Linked DNA regions of Oryzias latipes. The protein of the gene in region 1 binds, or shares a complex with, the protein of each later gene. Links are inferred from orthologs where the notes say so. Each region holds a gene or a part of one and is shown in the gene's direction. Other genes may lie near its edges.

Region 1 (5,526 bases):
CGATCAGTGCGGCTGCAGAGCCTCAGTCGAAGCCCCAGGCTCCCAGCCTCACCAGGGGACCAGAGCAGGACTCCGCTTTGCAGGAATTCAGCGAGACGGGCCTGTTTTCTGGGAAGTCTTTTCTTTTCGTGGGCTTTGGTGTTGAGGCGGAGGCACAGCTCTCCACGCTGGTGATTGAACATGGAGGAAAGGTGCTGGCTGGCCGCTGTCGCGCGGTGGCAGACTATGCCGTGGTTCCTCTGCTGGGATGCTCGGTCGAGGCCACAGTTGACGAGGTGGTCACGGATACGTGGCTGGTAAGAACAAAACCCATCATTTTTGCCCGGATTTTCTGCAAATCCCGGCTTTCTCATATTTGTCTTTTCTTTGGCGTTTCCCTGCCAGGCCATGTGTGTGGAGAAGGAGTGTGTTCTCCTGCTGTCGTCCAACCCGCTGTTCACTCCTGTGGCTGTGAGGGAGGGCTGCTTCCCTCTGGAGGGCTGCGTTCTCTCAGTCAGCCAGTTCATCGGAGCAGAGAGGGAGTCTTTGATCCAGCTGGCCAAGCATGTCGGAGCCGAGTACGATGAGCTTCCGTGACCTTTTTTAGAACGGCTGCAGGGGTCTGAATATTCCATAAACTCCTGAAGACCCACTCCGATTAGTGGCATTTTTTATGATGACGGAGGACATATATAAACATAATTAAGCGTAAAGTTGCGTTTCTAATTATTTATTTGTTCTAGCCGTTGTGAATCAGGAGCAGACAAAAAATGCTGTTGCTCTGGAGAAACTATGTCATAGAAAAAGACACAGTTTTTTAAGTTTTGGCTAAAAATGGCATTATCCTAATTAAAGACCTCTGAAAACACTTTCAAAATAGATCAAAAGATGACTGGAGTGGGACTTTAGTGGTTTCTGTTCATTCTAAATATGATACCTGATTTAAGTTATCCTAATCCTCATCTTCTGCCTGCTGCAGTGTCCAGGATTACTTTGTGCGCTTTGCTATTAAGAAGAAGGGCATGGTGGCCAGCACTCATCTGGTTTTGCAGAGTCCAGACGGCACAAAGTTCCAGGCAGCAAAGAAGTGGGGCCTCCCTGCTGTGAGCATGCACTGGATTCTGGAGTCGGCTCGAACAGGACAGAAAGCAGCAGAGGAGATGTTCCTGGTTGATCTACCTCCTTCACCAGGTTAAAGTCCAGCATTTGCGCGTCTGTGGTGATTCATTGTTGGCATCATCTTTTAATGTTCTCCTCCTCTACAGAGAGGGACGATGAGAGCTTCGTCGGCGGCTCCCAGAAACCGGCTCAAGCTCGTAACTCTCCAGAAATCCCCCTGCTGGGCCCGCAGAGCGGTAAAGCTGTCACCCCTCTGGATTTAGGTCGCTTTCAAAGCAAAGTGTTTCACTCTGTTCTGGATGAGATGAAGCCCAAAGACGGCCTCAGCACTCCCAAACAAAACCCGGATGGCAGCAGAAGACACGCCCACAGGGAGGCGTCGCTGCAGCTGGACACTCCCTCCCGTTTCCTCAGCAGAGATCAGCTCTTCCGTCCGTCCTTCAACGTCAAGGTTGTGATTCACTGAAAGCAAAAGAGGGCAGACTTTTCCTTTATTGACCTGAAACCTTTGTGGGTTTTGCTCTCCAGGATGCTCTTGGAGCTTTGGAGACTCCAGGGGGAAGGTTGAAGCCAGGCGAGAAGGTGGAGACTCCACTTACTGATGTCATCAACAGGAATCTGAAAGTAGCTTTAGCCAATAGCTCGCGGAATAATGTCTCAGAAATGCAGGCGGCTTCTGGAAGCCCTGAACTGGGAAAATCCACTGAGAAGGAGGTAAAAATGAAAGAACTACACAACATCTCCTGTCTGCAGTTTTCACAAGTTTGTGGTTTAGTTCCTTATGTGTTTAAAGACTCACTTCAGTCATCCTTTGGTCCAGTTTTAAAGTCTTCTAGTGGTCTTTTAATTAGGACTATGATGAAGTAGTTTCTGCAGAACAGCAGTTGTTATCGGGACCGTCGGCACGGAGCAACCCCGCCCCCTCTCCCTGTCACCACTCTGTTTTAGGGATCTCCAGCTAGCTTACAGCCCCTCCCACCCCCGACCTAACATTAGCAGTGCGGCAATATTGGAGCCGTACAGTTTTGATGCAGATTCCAGCTCAGACGAGGAAAACAAAGACGTGCATGAATCTGTTTGCATCAGAATGGAGCGGAGCAGGGAGCTCCTGATCAGAACAAAGAAAAGACTCAGAAATGCAACTTCCAGTTTAGATTGTTATTTATATATGTTCTCCGTCATCAGAAAAATGCAGGAAGAGCATTTTAAAAACACCAAAATGCTATTTTTATTGGAGTGGGTCTTTAAAATGAAACTGTGTTTGTGTTTTGCACAGAAGGACCCGCAGAAAGAAGCCGGACCGCTGGCTGGAGTTGTGGTCTGTGTGGGAAAGAAGTTGAGCAAAATGCAGACTGAACTAAACGCCGTCGCTGCCTCACTGGGAGCAGACTTCAGGTTTTCCACTCTTCCTCACTCAAATCCGTTTGTACTTCTGTGTTCTGTCACTTTGCCTCTTCTTCCGCCTTCAGCACCAGGCTTTCATGGCCGGTAAACAAAGTGTTACGCCCCTTTTAACCCTCCATACAAAATATAACAAATAACTAAAAGTGAATCAAAAAGGCTTCAGGGAAGGCCGGTTGCAAAACAGCACCAATTGTGAAGAAATATTTTACATTGAATGAAAATGATGTCTCTTCTTCTCTTTTGCAGGTGGGCTTATGACGACACGGTGACACACTACATCTACCAGGGCCGGGTTGGGGACAACAGCCGTGAATACAAAGGAGTGAAGGAGAGGGGGGTGCATGTGGTCTCCCAGTACTGGCTGCAGGCCGTATGTTTCCCTCTAACTTTGATTTTAGCTTCATTTATGACAAAGTTGGGTTTTAGTCCCAAATGTGTTAGTTTTCTTTTTTAAATTTCATATAATGTTTTTACGTAAATACTTTTAAAATGAAATGTCGAGTTAATTTGGCCAAAAATGATATTAAATTGTAATGGTTGAACGACACTGAGAGGCTGGTCGTGTCCACAGTTTTTGTCTGAAACAAACCTCCTCTGGTTTAGTGCGCTGATGAGCAGAAACGGGTTCCAGAGTCCCTGTTTCCTTTCACCTACAACCCTAAGATGAGCCTCAACCTGAGCCAGGTGCCCAGCAGCTCCCAGAGATCTCCACCTTTGACACGGACACAGCGGAGAGACGCCGCTGCAGCCAAGGTGGGTGGAAACATGGCCGTCATTTATCACAAAGCCCTGGTTTTTAGAGCTTCTCATGTCGTCTTAAATGAGTTTTCTTTGTTGTTTAGCTCAGTTTTTCCGAAGAAGAAGCTCCAGCTCTGCGCCGTGCGAGTGATGGAAGCGCGGACCAGGAAGATCTTGATCACACAGAGAGAACAGGTGGGTTTTTTTTTCCTCCACAAGCCAGTCCTGGTTGGTAAGCGAAGAAAGAACATCGAAACTGACGTGGGTTTGATGATTAGATACTCTGGAAATGAGGGAGAACCTGCAGAAACAGCTGCAGGAGATCATGTCAGCCACCAAACTGACGACCGGCAGACGCACTTCAGTCAGGCTGGCAAAGATGGGGTCCGGTGGGGCCGACTCAGGCCCTCATACACCTGAAGGGAGCCGAATGGGACGGAGTGGAAGCAGAAGAACCCTGGAAGCTTTGAGGTAAACAAACAAAAGACCCTTCCCAGCTGGGATCAGGAGGAATTTGATGGTAAAAAGGTTGTTGGATGATTCCTCAAACGTCTGTGTCCCCAGAGTTTCCAGAGAAGCAGCGCTGGATGTGAACACGGAGCCCTCGCAGAGCGAACAGATCGTCTGGGACGACCCGACGGCAAGAGAGGAGAGGGCCAAGCTGGCCGATAACCTGCAGTGGCCCGGCAGCCCCTCGCAGCACTCAGACCCCATCGTGGCCGCTCCACCCCCCACAGCAGAACCAGCACCACAGATGAAGGACTCCATGACCGACTCCGAGCTGGTGGAGATGGGTTTGTGTCGTTTTCAAAACCTCTCAGCAAAAATGAGCGTCTGTGACCTCATTAAAGTCCCACTCCGATCATCTTTTGATCTATTTTCAAAGCGTTCCCGGTTAATTATAATTATGCCGTTTGTAGCCAATATCTAGGATATATTTTCTGCAGAGCTGCAACGGTTCATCAGAAATTCACCTCTGAGTTATTAGGCGGGACTGTTGGCGGGGAGCGACTCCGCCCCCTTTTCATCTGTTTACAATCTCACCTGCTAGCTTACAGCCACAACCAAACATTATCAGTGCAACACAAATATCCGAGCTATCCGGTCGTACAGTTCAGATCCTGATTCCAGCGTTTTTTTTCTTACCGTCACTAATACAATCTTTCTCAAACTGAATTTTTTCATCTGCTCCTGATTCACAACAATTTCAATTGAATTCTCAAATATGCATTTTTAAGCTAAATTTTCTCAACATATGTTCTTCTTCGTAAGAAAAATGCCCCAAGATGTTAAAAAGCGCATTTTTCATCGAAGTGGATCTTTAAGAATAAAATTTAGAATAAAAAGCAAAGAAAATTCTGTTAGTTAAAACCTTAAATCAAATACGTTTTAACTTCAACCTAATTTTTTGTGTCTTACTTAAAATGAAAAAATTATACAACAATATTATAAGTTTAAAAACACTTTTTAACACACCAATCCCCATAAAGCAGCTTTATTGTTTTGTAGAAGCTGTTTTCTGAACGTCTTTTCCTATAGTACATGACTGATAGTATATTGATGTATATGAAGTATTCTGTTGAAGCAGAGGTAGTAGGTTTATGGGAGGAAGTCGGATTTACTGGGATGACTCTGTAGATGGTTTGAAACTTCATGGCTGAAGTGCGTTTCCTGGTCTCCAACAGCTGCCTGTGACGTTATTGACCAGCACCTGGGGCAGAAGCTGATAACTCCCCCATCAGAGGAGGCAGAAGATGATATTCTCACGCCCAAAGCCCCCTGCATCGCTTTTCCTCTCACCAAACCCACAGCAGCCCCCGAGCCTCTGAGAGAGGTTCGCATTTAACCAGAAGAATAGGTTTTCCTAAAATAAAGGGGACTTTTTTCTTTTTAATATAATGTTCTTCTATTTCTCCCAGGAGGAGAAAAAAGAAAAACAGCCCCCCAGGTTTCAGATGTCCTCCCTCAGCCCTCAGGAGCGCATCGATTACAGCCACGTCATCGAGGATCTGGGTGAGTCTCATCGGGATTCAGAAACGGAAACTAAGAAGCTGAGATTTACTGACGGGAGCTGTGAATATTTTCTTTTCTTGAGCGTTTTTCTTCATTCTTTTTATTTTGTCAGAAATATTTGAACGAACATCTTCTTCCACGGACTGGAAAAGAACACGAAAACCACAAACGTGTGTGTTTCTGTCTGCTGTAGGGGGTGTCGTTTTGGAAAAGCAGTCGTTTGACCCGAGCTGCTCCCACATCATCGTTGGGAGTCCTCTGCGTAACGAGAAG
Region 2 (6,252 bases), on another chromosome or scaffold:
CATACAGTGATATTTATGAAACTCAGTAGCTGGGGTTTGTGAATGAAAATGTTTGGATGTCTAAAGTGATAAACACATGTATATGTGTCTACATGGTGTGTTTGAGTGTGTTTTTGTACAACATTTGAGTACATATCACTTTTTTTTCATTCAAATTTCCAAAAGCAGAGAAAGATAAAATATTTTAATGTCGGCCTTTTTGTTTTAATTTGTAAATTGTAGCAACTAAAGGACAGAGTTTTAAAAGTGCAATTAGTGATGGTGATCTAAACTGATCAGCACATATTGATTTGTCTGTAAGACATACCGTTTTTGTACAGGGACTATATCCAAAAGGGATAGCAATTTTTTCATGCTATTTGAAAAAAAAAGCATGTTTACAGGAAAGGATGCTTCTAGCAAATTAAACACTTACCTGAGTACATCTGTTTCCACAGTACAAACAATATACAGCAGTGTTGTGTATGATCCAGCAAGTGCTTTGGATTGTTTCATGTTTTTAATGGAGATTAACACAATCAGAAAAGTTCCTCTTGTGACAGCAACATGGAACATGCTGTCTGTGTTCAGCTGATATATAATTACACTCAGCCTTAGACTGCATGGCCTTATGACTAAATTTACTGGCTGAAGAAGAAATACTTGCACTTGCTGTATTTTCATGACTGTCACAGTGACTCCACAGCAGACTGCAGAGATAATCAGTCATGGTTCAATTTGCTGTCAGTGTTATGTGCATTCATTGGCTTTGGGATTTAGGGAAAGCCTGTTCAAGCTAAGACGAGCTTCAATGCTTATTTGACCCAAAACAGAAAGAAATACATTTTAAAAAAAGTATGACTGAACCGTACTCTTTTACACGTTGCGTGTTTCCTTTCTGTCTGAGCTCAGCAAAACACGTAAATTAAGAAAAAGTTTAAGCCAAGTTATTACTGACCGAGTAGACCATCCCTGTTGCCTTTTCAGTTGACAGCATTGTTTGCAAGTGTGAGTGTAGAAGAGTTTTATGTGGTAGTCTCATGGTGTATATAATCTTGAATTGAAAAATGGTTTCTTTTCTTCAAAGCAGCCTCTCAGATGTCACTGTATACTGACGGAAATGTTTACTCTTGCTATGCTCTCAACATGCTACTTTAAGAGACAAACATGGGGATTTTATATCTTACTGTTTGTAAGTTTGATGTTTAGCACTGCTGTGAGATCCTCACATGCCTAGCTAGAAGCTTTTTTTTTGGCATTCCTTCTTTTCCTGTGAAATGTGTAGTTTTTGACCATCAGCCTTTTACTGCGTGTGAGCCATATCCGTGCTGGAAACACACATCTAAAATTTTTTAGTCTTTAGTTCTTAACAAATTTGTAGACAAACAACAGAAGTTCAAATTTCAGCAACAGATTTGAGTAAAATTCAGTTCTTGGCTTATAAGCTAATTTAGCCATATATTTGCTTGACCATTGATGGTCAAGCTATTTGTTATAATAGCTTACAGTCAAAAGGAGCATTTCTGTTTGATTAGTTGTAAAAGCATTTATTGCAAAACAGAAAACATGAGACGAAAAACATAAACTAATGTTTCTTTTCAATTGGAAAATTTGCATGATTTAAGAATAAAATTCTTCAATATTCTGTACTTTCTTTTCCTGAGAAATTTCACTGATTACAAGTGAAGGTGAAGCACCATCCTGTCATGTCTGACACTGACTTTTATCCAATAAGCTACACTGTAACTGTCAGACTTATGAAGCTGACTTTGTCATTAAAGTGTTACCAAAATGTTATCTAAAAGATGACACTTATTTTTGTATTTTGGAATGAAGTTGTACAGATTGTAAAATTCTGTTCCCATCACTTTATTTCAAAGGTTATTTAAATTAGACAACACTGGTCTTCATCTGTGTTTACATAGGACTCCCTGTCTTGATATACCTCCAAAAGATTGGCAGAAAAGGTTTTTATAGTTCTTTTCTGATAATTAGTCCCCATTTTTTTTACAGTGATGCTATTTCAAAATTATATAAGAGAATGTCACCAGCATTCCTGCTGCACTACTCGGCAAACACTATACTGAAATGAAAACAATAGTAATCTGGGGAGTCCTACAATGGCATTGCACATTGTAAACCATTTATATTTGAGAATGAAAAGAAGAGAAGAGATTAAAGTATGTTGCTGATGATTTAGCCTATGTAAATTGTAACTTTTTTTTGTAACTAACCAAAATAAATGCTTTGGCAATGGGGTGTGTGTGCTGTTGGCTTTTTGTCAGATATGGAGGGTGGAAAAGCTTGTGAGAAATACCTGTGTTTTTTTGGAAGTTCATGGTCTCTAATGGCCTTAAAACTCAACTCCATACTCTGATAGTAAACATACATCATTACGCAGACAGTAGTGTAATCAGTTTGACACAAACAGTCCGACCTGCAAAATTACTTGTATTTCCAAATGGGCCTACTGTCTGAAGTACTGAACTGCATTTATTTATTTTTTGTCTTGTATAGAGATTTCCACATATAAATTCAGGGATATAAATAATAAAAAGCAAATAAATGAATTTATTGGTTTCCCTATAAACATACAGATAAATTACTTTAAAATTACTAAGTGGTGACAACAAGCACATAAGGGCAAAAAGAATGGTTTTATAACTAATAAAAATTACTTGTGAAAAAATAATTACAGTACACATTTGTTTTTATGTTGATTTTAAATTATCAAATATTTTATTTTATATATATTTGCATGTTTTTTCATGATATGTGTATATGTATAGTAATTCAACAAGTGATCAAAAATTTGTCTTTGGCCTTCTCCCTCCCCCATGTGCTCTTTCAGAATGTTAACAACTTTATTGTTCCTACAACGGATGACAGAAGCGAACAACGGTCTGACGTTATCCCCTTTGAAATGGCGTTGATGGCCTCAAAGGCGATGTTACTTTTAATCATTGCTGTCGTTTAGACTGCTTCAGCTTTCTTTCTTTTTAGCTTCAGCGTCAATATTTTGATCAGATTTTATTATGTTGGAATTTTTAAGTTTATAAACAAAAATGTGGTAAAGCAAATTATTGATATTTGGTGTTACATAATAAGGCCGCAGCTGCCCCAAGCTTGCGTAGAGATTACAACCGCCTTTCAATGCTAGGACTAGCATCAAAGCTACATATCGGTGAGTTTCTAGTGGTTAACTTTAGTCTACACTTCTTTAGTAACTGTAAAGGAGCTGTTTTTACTTTATCAGATTAATCTATCTCAGTTTGTAATAAAAACATTTGTTTTAAAATGTAATATTTCGGTAAGCTAGCTACATTGTTTGCTAACTTGGCTAACGTTAGCTTGCTCGCTGTTTATGTCGTTTAACGTTGCCCTACAGTGTGTTTACAAACAGCCATGTATAGATACACCTGCTAATTCGTGAACATTATTAACTCTTAAGCTGAACTCGCTATTCATATGAGTGAACTTTGCAGTTGTGTGATATAGTTACTTCGTTGTTGTGTTCTGAAATTATTTGTTGCAAATTTATTTCTTAATATTGTAGGACTTTATCAGATTAGCATTGTTTTGTTGCATTGGTTCTTTTTGTTATGAGCGAAACAAATTTTAGCCAGATTTTTATAGAACATGGATTATTCATGTACTCTTTCACGTCAAATGTCCAGCGAGTTCAAATATGTTTGTTTTTCTTCTTGCCAGGTTCTGAAGGAAAACGAGCTGACAGTGGCTATACATAAATACTTTTCAGTGCATTTGTATATTACTGTTAGATTCTCTGACTTGCCACTCTCCTGAATCAGATTTGGAAACCATTTTTTGTTTTATGTTCTTTTATATTTTATAAATTCGTCCTTAAAACATGGCATCAGTGCCAGTGTACTGCTTGTGTCGACTCCCTTATGATGTGACACGATTCATGATTGAATGCGACATTTGTCAAGACTGGTTTCATGGAAGGTGAGTTATTTTCTAGTCATTATAATTACAATGTCTTACTAAGACTGACATTTTTATTTTAAAGTAATATTTTTTTATTGCTTTATTTTCTAAAATGTAATAGGTGTTGATCTAAAATTTGTTATTCAATTACCTAGTGTGGCTAAATATCTTTTGTGGGTTTTCTGTGCAGCTGTGTTGGAGTGGAAGAGGACAAAGCAGCTGAAATTGACCTGTACCACTGCCCAAACTGTCAGGTCACACACGGGCCATCTGTCAGTAAGTGTCTTTGTTCTTTTTCTATGTGACTGAGAAGTCGTTTTCTTGCTGTTACACCACAGTAGTTTAAATTATCATAATTGTTAGACCTGCCCAATCTGTGTGTTGTCTGTTTTCTAAGTGCGCAAACGCCGTGGCGGCAATAAACAGACAGATGGAAGTGCTGCAGCATTAAGAGATCCAAGTCGGCCTGTAAAGACGGGAAGTCCACAGTTTGTCAGAGAGCTGAGGAGCCGTACATTCCCAAAGTAAGACTGTGTAAATCAGTTAAACAAATTTGCGATCCCAAATAAAAATATATATAAATGCATAAATAAAATGAACACTGGATTTCTTATGTTTGGTTTGATTTTTTTTTCATTTGATTATTTTTTTTATCATTATTGATGTAATGAATTTAAGATATTTTTATAGTTGTACCCAAATGTTCCCTATTCATTTAACTAAAATGAATGGCAGGTAAAAGCTACTTGAAATGACTGAAAAACAACAATAAATTTCCCTCTGGATTATTAGAGCACGGTGATTCGATCTGATTGATACTTTGGCAGTTGTTGATTTAACTGGTCTTCCTACTTCATAACATTTTCCTTGTTAATGTATCTTTTTTAAATTGCAGATTTCCACTTGTTTGCTGGCACTCATTGTCTCCCTTTTTTTGTGTGATGTGGTTACAGTGCAGATGAAATCTTGCTAAAGCCATCAGGGGCACAACTGACTGTGGAATTCTTGGAAGAGCACTCATTCAGTGTCCCTGTCATGGTCTTGAGGCGCGATGGGTTAGGCATGACCCTTCCTCCAGCTTCGTTTAGCGTTTCTGATATAGAGCACCACATTGGTAATTTTTTTAACATTTATGTACCAGATTCAAATTAATGGCTTGATATTGTTACATTTTTCTTTGTGGCGTGGGTGTTGATATTAAATCCTCTTCATATTTTTCTAAATCCTCTTCCATTGCAGGTCCAGATAAAGAAATTGATGTGATTGATGTGTGTCGGCAATGTGATCTGAAGATGAGACTAGGAGACTTTGTTGAATATTACAACAGCCCTAACAGAGACAGGGTACTCAACGTCATTAGTCTGGAGTTTTCTGAGACTAGGTGCACATTTTTGACTTTACTTATCTGATATCTTGAGAAGCACAATGAACATTTAAATGAACTGGATTACAATTTCAGTGTGGAAGCTGAGCTGTTGAAAACTTAAGCTATGCATTTACTTTTTAGGCTCTCTAACCTGGTAGAAACTCCCAAAATAGTGAGGAAACTGTCATGGGTGGAAAACCTCTGGCCTGAAGAGTCTGTTTTTGAGCGCCCTAATGTCCAGAAGTACTGTTTGATGGGAGTAAAAGACAGCTACACAGACTTTCACATTGATTTTGGAGGCACCTCAGTATGGTACCATGTCTTGAGGGTAAGAGAAATATGTTTAGATTATATCTTTTAGTTTTAATCCTTTATTGTTTTGTTTTTTTACTTAAAGCTTTTCCTTTGTGTTCACTCAGGGGGAGAAAATCTTCTACCTGATTTCTCCAACTCCAGCCAACCTGGCCCTATTTGAACAGTGGAACTCCTCTTCTAACCAGAATGAGATGTTTTTTGGAGACCAGGTTGATATGTGCTACAAGTGTTCCGTGAAACAGGGAAACACACTGTTCATACCAACTGGTAAGCAGCACATGCTTGTTTTGACAACTATTTGCAATTAAACATCCTTTAAAGTCTACCAACTAGATTACCGGTATATGGATTAGATCTGTGTTAAATCTTGAAATAAGACTAACAGAAGTTGACAGGATTTTTATAAATAGAATAGATATAGAATAACAGAATGATGTAAATTTCTTCCTGTTTGATAAATAAAACATGCACACATTTCTAAATTAGGCTTTGTTTTTCTATGTATAGGGGGAAGTAGTTGTCAGTCACAAAATCTGCAAATTGTCTCACTTTGAAAAAATAGATATATAATGTTCATCCACGTTACACTTCAACTGTGTGAGACAGAATGTAAAATCAAACTCCAGGTAATCCCATTGTAT
Region 3 (6,136 bases), on another chromosome or scaffold:
AATAAAGCTAATTGTCAAAAAAAGAAGAAAAAAACACAAAACAAAACATCATCATCATTACTACTGGATAAACTTGAGATGTCAAATAATTAATTTACCTGCTCATCGTGATTTTTGTTTCTGCCAGAGCGTCTGCAGTTCCCCCAGTTTTTGATGCCTTTTGTCTGGTCATAAGTGGTCATAGGGTCATAAGTCGACCAGGAAGATGATGGTCAAGTTCAGCATAAAAGGTGTTGGGCAGGTTCTGATTTGTAATCCGCAGAAACTCTGCATACACCTGAATAAAACACAACAACAGACTTTAATTATAAGTGAAAAAATATCTCAAACCCATGTTTAAAGCAGCACATGGATGCCAAATGAGTAAGAATCATGATTTTCCTTGTAAGAGGAGAGCTGATCCACATTACCTCCCCCTCTATTTTCAGAGCAGGCCACAGGTCCAGGAGCTCAATAACCGGTGGACAGGACATCACTGCAGGAGGGAGGAAAGAGGAGAGAGAAAACCCCAAAAAAGTGCTTTAGAAACCCAGGTTACGTCCAAATGACCACCCTAATCACTATATAGCGTATTCTCCATTTTGTAGTGCTGTCCAAATCTACAATTCCAAAATCAAGTGCCATAGAAATTTCCCAGAAGTCTCTACAAAAAAAGTGTGCATCAATGCTCACTATATTGACGAATATAGACCACGATGCATATGGCTGTACGTGTCCGAATTGTCCCTGAATATTTTCAGAATTTTAAAATGAACTGGTGAATTTTAAGACATTTTTTTCATCTTTTACTCCACAGCCTCTTGAAGTCTGGCGTCTGGCCTGCTGCAGGGGTCAGATTCCCCCCCTCCTCCCCCTGCAGGGTTCCTGCTCATATGTTAATTAGCCAGCAGTGACAAGCAAGATGAGAGGAGTTAGAATGAGGCCACAAAAAGACAGTTCAGCACTGAAAGACTGCTTTTTCATTTTTTTTTTTTGTATGTCTTTCAGTGTCGTGCGGTGAGGTTGATGACTGGTGAGGCACCGATTCCTCTGGAGTCAGATTTACTAAAGAACTGAAAATTTCACCTTTCATCCAACGGCAGCTAACAGCTTATAAAACACACAAGAGCATATTTGTCCTCCAGAGAATATTTCTTTTGTAGACATGGATAGAACACTCTTCTTGTGTATAAATTATTCATATGTACTGAAAACAAATTAAAGTATACAGATGTGTTCAGCACACAAATTCTGGAGCTTTATTTAATCAGTTATCAATGTTGTCTGTGAAAATGTTCATAAAAATAAAATAAATTATCTTACTTACATTTTTTTGCACTTACTCCCAAGTTATTAAAAAAAAGAAACATTGAACATGTTTAGCCTTACTTTTTCTATCCGTGCACCGATTTTCCCTTTATTTATGAGTTTCTCCCAATGAGTTATATCGCTAGAGGAGACATCACGTGGTTCCTCATGGGAGGAGAGCACCGCCATCTTGGTGAGGACAAGTTACTACTGCAGTGCATGCATGTGAACACATTTTTTGCATAATACCAGTTAATTTTGCGGGTTTCAACTGCCAAATCAGAGCACTGAGTCCATGAAGGAGGAAGGTATATCATTTCACAGGTAAGTACTAAATTTTTTTTCTTTTAATGCTGCAGGGGCTTCATTAATCATACACATGTTGACATGCATGATGCTGCAGGGCTGTCATCAACATGCTGCATGATGTTCGTATAATTTGCTTTTGACATAAATGTACATTTTATTTAGCTAAACCTGTATACAGCATACTAGGCTATTTTAGTTATATAGATTTATACATTTCTGACTCAGTGACTGAACTTTTCTTGCAGGTTTCCAATGGATTCAGACTTAAGGAAAAAGTGGATCTTAGCAATAAAAAGAGCTAACCCAGATGGATCACTGTGGTACCAACTAGAATACAGTCTGGATATGTTAGAAACATTTGTGGAAACACATTTAGATGAGAGGCCAGACTGTTCGCTTGAAACCTGAAACCAAACCATCTGTGTTATACTCACATGAATCAATATAAATCTATTGTTTTTCTTTGTTGTTGTTGCTTTTTTAGGGTAAATCTCTTGTTCACTTTTGGACTTCTTTTGAATATTTATTTTACTATTATTATTATTATTATTATTATTATTATTAATAGACTTATTATTTATTGACTTATTATTTATTTATTTATTGTTTTTTATTGACTTACTATTGATTTGTTATTATTATAATTATTATTATTATTATTATTATTATTATTATTATTATTATTATTGACTCATTGTTGGGTTTTTCTAAATAATTTAAATTACATGTCAAAGAGGTCTAAAACTTCTAAATGTTTAGAAAGTATTTTTAAAAACTCTTTGAAATTATTTTTTTCTTCGTAAGAAGTCCTGCAACAATGCATTTTCATTAAAGTTTGAACTTTTAAGGCTGCCTGTTTCTCTTCTTTAACAACAACAAATGATGTATCTATATATATATTATATATATAAATATAATATATTTACATACATATATAAATATATATAAATGTAAAAATATATATAGTATAAAAGCTACCTAGACACCACTAAAAGCAATAGAAATCATTGTCATGTGGGCCTCGTCGACCTCACCAAGATGGCGTCACGCTCCGCCACCGTCGGCCAGGCTTCCCAAGCGGGCGTGTCTCCTCTAGTGATATAACTCATTGCCCTGAAACATACCTCCATTTCTGGAACCGAAAGCTGCGGTTATCAACTTCCTTAGCCTCAAGCTTATCGTGGGAGCTAGCATAACCTGCTTTCTGAAACAGGCCCCAGGGGCCTGTTGCACAAAAGTAAAATTAAGACATCCGGGATAAATGACTAAGCTGAGCTCAATGAATCCAAAACATGTGCGTCTAGGCTTAATCGGTTGCACAAAGACCAAGCCAGGATGAGCAGACACGGATTCATCAAGCCAGGTGTAACCAATCCTGGATAGGTGCGCGCTCACGGCTCACTCAAACAGACCCCGCCACAGATCACAGATAAACTGATTTACCATGGCAACTAGAGCCGCGTACCTTTCCCCATCGGAAGAACAAATCCTCATGGAGGCATACGAGGAGGTAAAAGATATAATTAAGAAGAAAGTCAACACCGCCACAGTGATAAAGCACACTCAAGATTTTTTTAAATTAAATTACCAGCCAATTGATTTTACGAAAATGTAACTTGTCATTTCAACCAGAAAATGTTATGTTTGTAAATCTTACGTGAATGAATCATGTCGATCGTACATAAAAATAATCCATTTAAAAGTTACTAATTTCAATCATGTTGATCCAATATGATACCGTTGAATTGGATACATTAGTAATCGCAAGGAATTGTGGGATTCCATTTTCTTTGTCTATCTGGGCAGATTGGGGTCTAAGTGTGAGTTTTTGTCCATGGGTTTTATTGTCTAGCTGTTTTACTCTGTTTTAACTAGTGATTTAAACTGTTGTGTTTTTTTTTTTTTTTGCACCATGAGTTAGAGTTTGGGAGAGGATGATGACCAACCGCCTTGTGCGGTAAACTATTCATGTAACTTAAAACAGAATTTGAGCTCCTGTCTTGTGGTGTGGGACATTACTGCGCAGAAAATGTCTTTGATATGAAAATTAAAAGACCCATTGGTTGAACCTTTGGAAAACTACATCAATGTCAGATGTATAAATAAATTTAAAGCAAAAAATTAAGTTATATCAACATACATTGTGTTAGGTAGTCATACAAATTTAAGTTGAATAAACTTAATTTAATGAGGTGTGACCAATTGAAGTGATTCAATTAAGTTGGATCAACTTTTTTCTTTTGAGAGTGAGCAACAATATTAATTTAAAGTTGGGTCCAACTGCAGTATTTAGATTGAATCAACTTAAATTTATTAGTTTGAACCTAAGTACATTAAGTAGGACCAATATGATTCATTTTTGTTCAAGTAACGCTATCTATTCATGTGGAAATCATTTCCATAATTTTTTTATGTTCATTCAAAGTGAACGTTTTTGAGTGTAGTTTACCTGCTTTTTTTATCCTTATTCAATAAAGGAACATAATGTTACTCATTGTGTTTTCATATTTTAATGGAATGTGTATTATTTTATATGACAGAGTACTAGGGCCCACTAAGGAAAAAAGGATAAAGTCATAAATTTATGAGGCTGGTTCTTTCTGCAGAAAAGCAACATATTCTTTTTACAGTTTTTTTTTTTTTTTTTTCCACTACTTTTTATTTAAAGAATTAGTCATGACAACACAGCAACTTCAATAATACCAGTTACGTTTTCCTTATAAAAAGACAAAAAGCAAAAAGGAAATAAAATAATTAAAAAAAAACAAAAAACAAAACAAAACAAAAAACTAAACTGTATTGTATGACATTTCACTCAAAACAAATATCTGCACTCAAACAAATAAAAATTATAATTACATAAAACAAAACTTAACAACGAACATTGCTTCTCTTACATGATACCATCACAGCTCTCCTTTTCAAAAGCTTTTAAACTGAGGTTGCAAAATTCCGTGCGGTTGAGATCAAAAATCTGTTGAATCATCTATTAGTTCTAATTTTTGAATATAATTAATAAAGGGTCCCCAAATTTCCTCAAATAGGTGTTGTTTGCTTTTATGAATATACATTATTCTTTCCAAAGGAAGGCAATACAACATTTGTTTTAGCCACTGATTTATGCTAGGTCTGCTCATGTTTTTCCAAGCCTGTGCAATACACCTTTTAGCCGTTAAGAAACTGATATCAATAAATGTACTCTCTGTATTACTAAAATTATGTTTCACTGGATATATAGTCAAAAGAAATAGGGCTCAATGTAAGTTGTTTTGAGATTATTTTTTCTATTGTAATTTTAACTTCTTCCAAAAAGATTTGTATTTGGTGACATTCCCACATGCAATGCTTCAATGTGCCTTTAAATCCACATTTTGCACAAACATCTGGTATGTTCTTATTATATTTATTTAGTTGCACTGGTGTCGTATATAAACGCATTAACCATTTAAATTGTAGTATTCTCAGTCGACTGTTAATAGACATAGAATGAATCTTACAACATGCCCTTGTCCAATCATTTTCATTAATATTGAGTGATAAGTCATCATTCCATGATTTTAATTTACCATTTGAGTTCTCTGATGTATTAGATGTCAATAAGTTATAGAGGTCCGAAATTATGCCTTTTCTTAATTTGTTTTTCATCATCTGGGTTTCCAGCTGTGAAAGAGGAATTTTGTTAAGACTCTTTTGGTTTGCATTCACAAAGCTTCTTAACTGAAGATATTTAAAGTAGTGTTTTTTATCCAGGTCGTACATAGATTTTAGCTCCTCAAAGGACATAAAGGTATCAGACTGTGAGGGGTACAAATCTCTAATTGTTCTAAGTCCTTTGGATGCCCACGTTTTAAACGTTGTATCCATTCTTCCTGGTACAAAACACTTGTGACCCCAGATTGGGCTGAATTGTGATAAAGAATTTACTTCTTTTAAATAGTTTTTGACCTCAAACCAGACCTTTATCATGTGTTTCAAGAAAGGATTTTTGATTTGTCTTTGTAACTTTCTTATTTTATCGTAGTATAAGAACGACGGTAAAGGTATTTTTAAATTGTGGGACTCCATTTCCACCCAATGTGGATTATTCTCATTAGAGAAGTAAAACATAATGGAGCGCAGATGTGTAGCCCAGAAGTAATGCTTAAAATTAGGGCATTTTAGCCCCCCTCCATCAAATGGTAAGTATAGTAAAGTAAGACGGAGTTTAGGTTTTCTGTTGTTCCATATAAAGGCTACTGTGATTTTCTTTAACCAAGCAAATAATTCTAGAGGGGGTGCCAGAGGGACATTTTGGAACAAGTATAGCAGTTTTGGCAATACGTTCATTTTTAGGATATTTATTCTTCCCATTATAGTTATGGGCAGCTTCATCCATCTGTCTATTGAATCTTTGATTTTTTCTTTTAAGTAATCATAGTTACGTTGGACAACTTGATCCAGCTTTGGTACAATTACCACTCCTAAGTATTCAAAATGTTCAACTACTTTAAAGTGAGATGTTTTGGAAGTGGGGTTTTGCCTTTCCATAGAATTTAGCATT

Evidence for each region. Proteins that work in one complex are often made in the same cells at the same time.
Region 2: the proteins of topbp1 (region 1) and phf8 are in contact, whole or in part, in a crystal structure (PDB 7CMZ), measured with the Homo sapiens proteins. The link is inferred for Oryzias latipes from reciprocal best matches to the Homo sapiens genes TOPBP1 and PHF8. Residues at the interface, in NP_008958.2 of Homo sapiens: Gln1298, Cys1299, Arg1314, Asn1315, Glu1316, Leu1319, Arg1369, Ser1406, Arg1407, Gly1410, Phe1411, Arg1413, Leu1414, Arg1465, Thr1466, Glu1467, Ala1470, Asp1471, Gln1475, Asn1483, Tyr1484; in NP_001171825.1 of Homo sapiens: Gly842, Ala843, Cys844, Phe845, Asp847, Ala848, Tyr850, Ile851, Tyr852, Pro853, Ser854, Leu855, Glu856.
Region 3: the proteins of topbp1 (region 1) and brip1 are in contact, whole or in part, in a crystal structure (PDB 3AL3), measured with the Homo sapiens proteins. The link is inferred for Oryzias latipes from reciprocal best matches to the Homo sapiens genes TOPBP1 and BRIP1. Residues at the interface, in NP_008958.2 of Homo sapiens: Leu1272, Ser1273, Ser1274, Leu1275, Asn1276, Pro1277, Arg1280, Gln1298, His1311, Leu1313, Arg1314, Asn1315, Glu1316, Lys1317, Leu1319, Gln1366, Arg1407, Gly1410, Phe1411, Leu1414, Thr1466, Glu1467, Ile1469, Ala1470; in NP_114432.2 of Homo sapiens: Ser1129, Tyr1131, Phe1132, Thr1133, Pro1134, Glu1135, Leu1136, Tyr1137, Asp1138.

The regions. Positions count from the first base shown.
Region 1 is NC_019878.2:21,464,440-21,469,965, reverse strand, and holds part of topbp1 (DNA topoisomerase 2-binding protein 1), read left to right. Parts: coding exon 1-296; intron 297-384; coding exon 385-557; intron 558-958; coding exon 959-1,170; intron 1,171-1,244; coding exon 1,245-1,549; intron 1,550-1,626; coding exon 1,627-1,812; intron 1,813-2,374; coding exon 2,375-2,493; intron 2,494-2,748; coding exon 2,749-2,872; intron 2,873-3,105; coding exon 3,106-3,255; intron 3,256-3,344; coding exon 3,345-3,435; intron 3,436-3,518; coding exon 3,519-3,711; intron 3,712-3,804; coding exon 3,805-4,034; intron 4,035-4,925; coding exon 4,926-5,074; intron 5,075-5,159; coding exon 5,160-5,253; intron 5,254-5,446; coding exon 5,447-5,526. UniProt on the Homo sapiens protein: Scaffold protein that acts as a key protein-protein adapter in DNA replication and DNA repair. Composed of multiple BRCT domains, which specifically recognize and bind phosphorylated proteins, bringing proteins together into functional combinations.
Region 2 is NC_019865.2:11,809,627-11,815,878, forward strand, and holds the start of phf8 (histone lysine demethylase PHF8), read left to right. Parts: upstream 1-2,873; 5' UTR 2,874-3,163; intron 3,164-3,690; 5' UTR 3,691-3,850; coding exon 3,851-3,948; intron 3,949-4,120; coding exon 4,121-4,206; intron 4,207-4,327; coding exon 4,328-4,454; intron 4,455-4,883; coding exon 4,884-5,044; intron 5,045-5,169; coding exon 5,170-5,311; intron 5,312-5,437; coding exon 5,438-5,624; intron 5,625-5,715; coding exon 5,716-5,878; intron 5,879-6,252. UniProt on the Homo sapiens protein: Histone lysine demethylase with selectivity for the di- and monomethyl states that plays a key role cell cycle progression, rDNA transcription and brain development.
Region 3 is NC_019871.2:30,070,160-30,076,295, reverse strand, and holds the start of brip1 (Fanconi anemia group J protein), read left to right. Parts: upstream 1-2,757; 5' UTR 2,758-3,106; intron 3,107-6,136. UniProt on the Homo sapiens protein: DNA-dependent ATPase and 5'-3' DNA helicase required for the maintenance of chromosomal stability. Acts late in the Fanconi anemia pathway, after FANCD2 ubiquitination.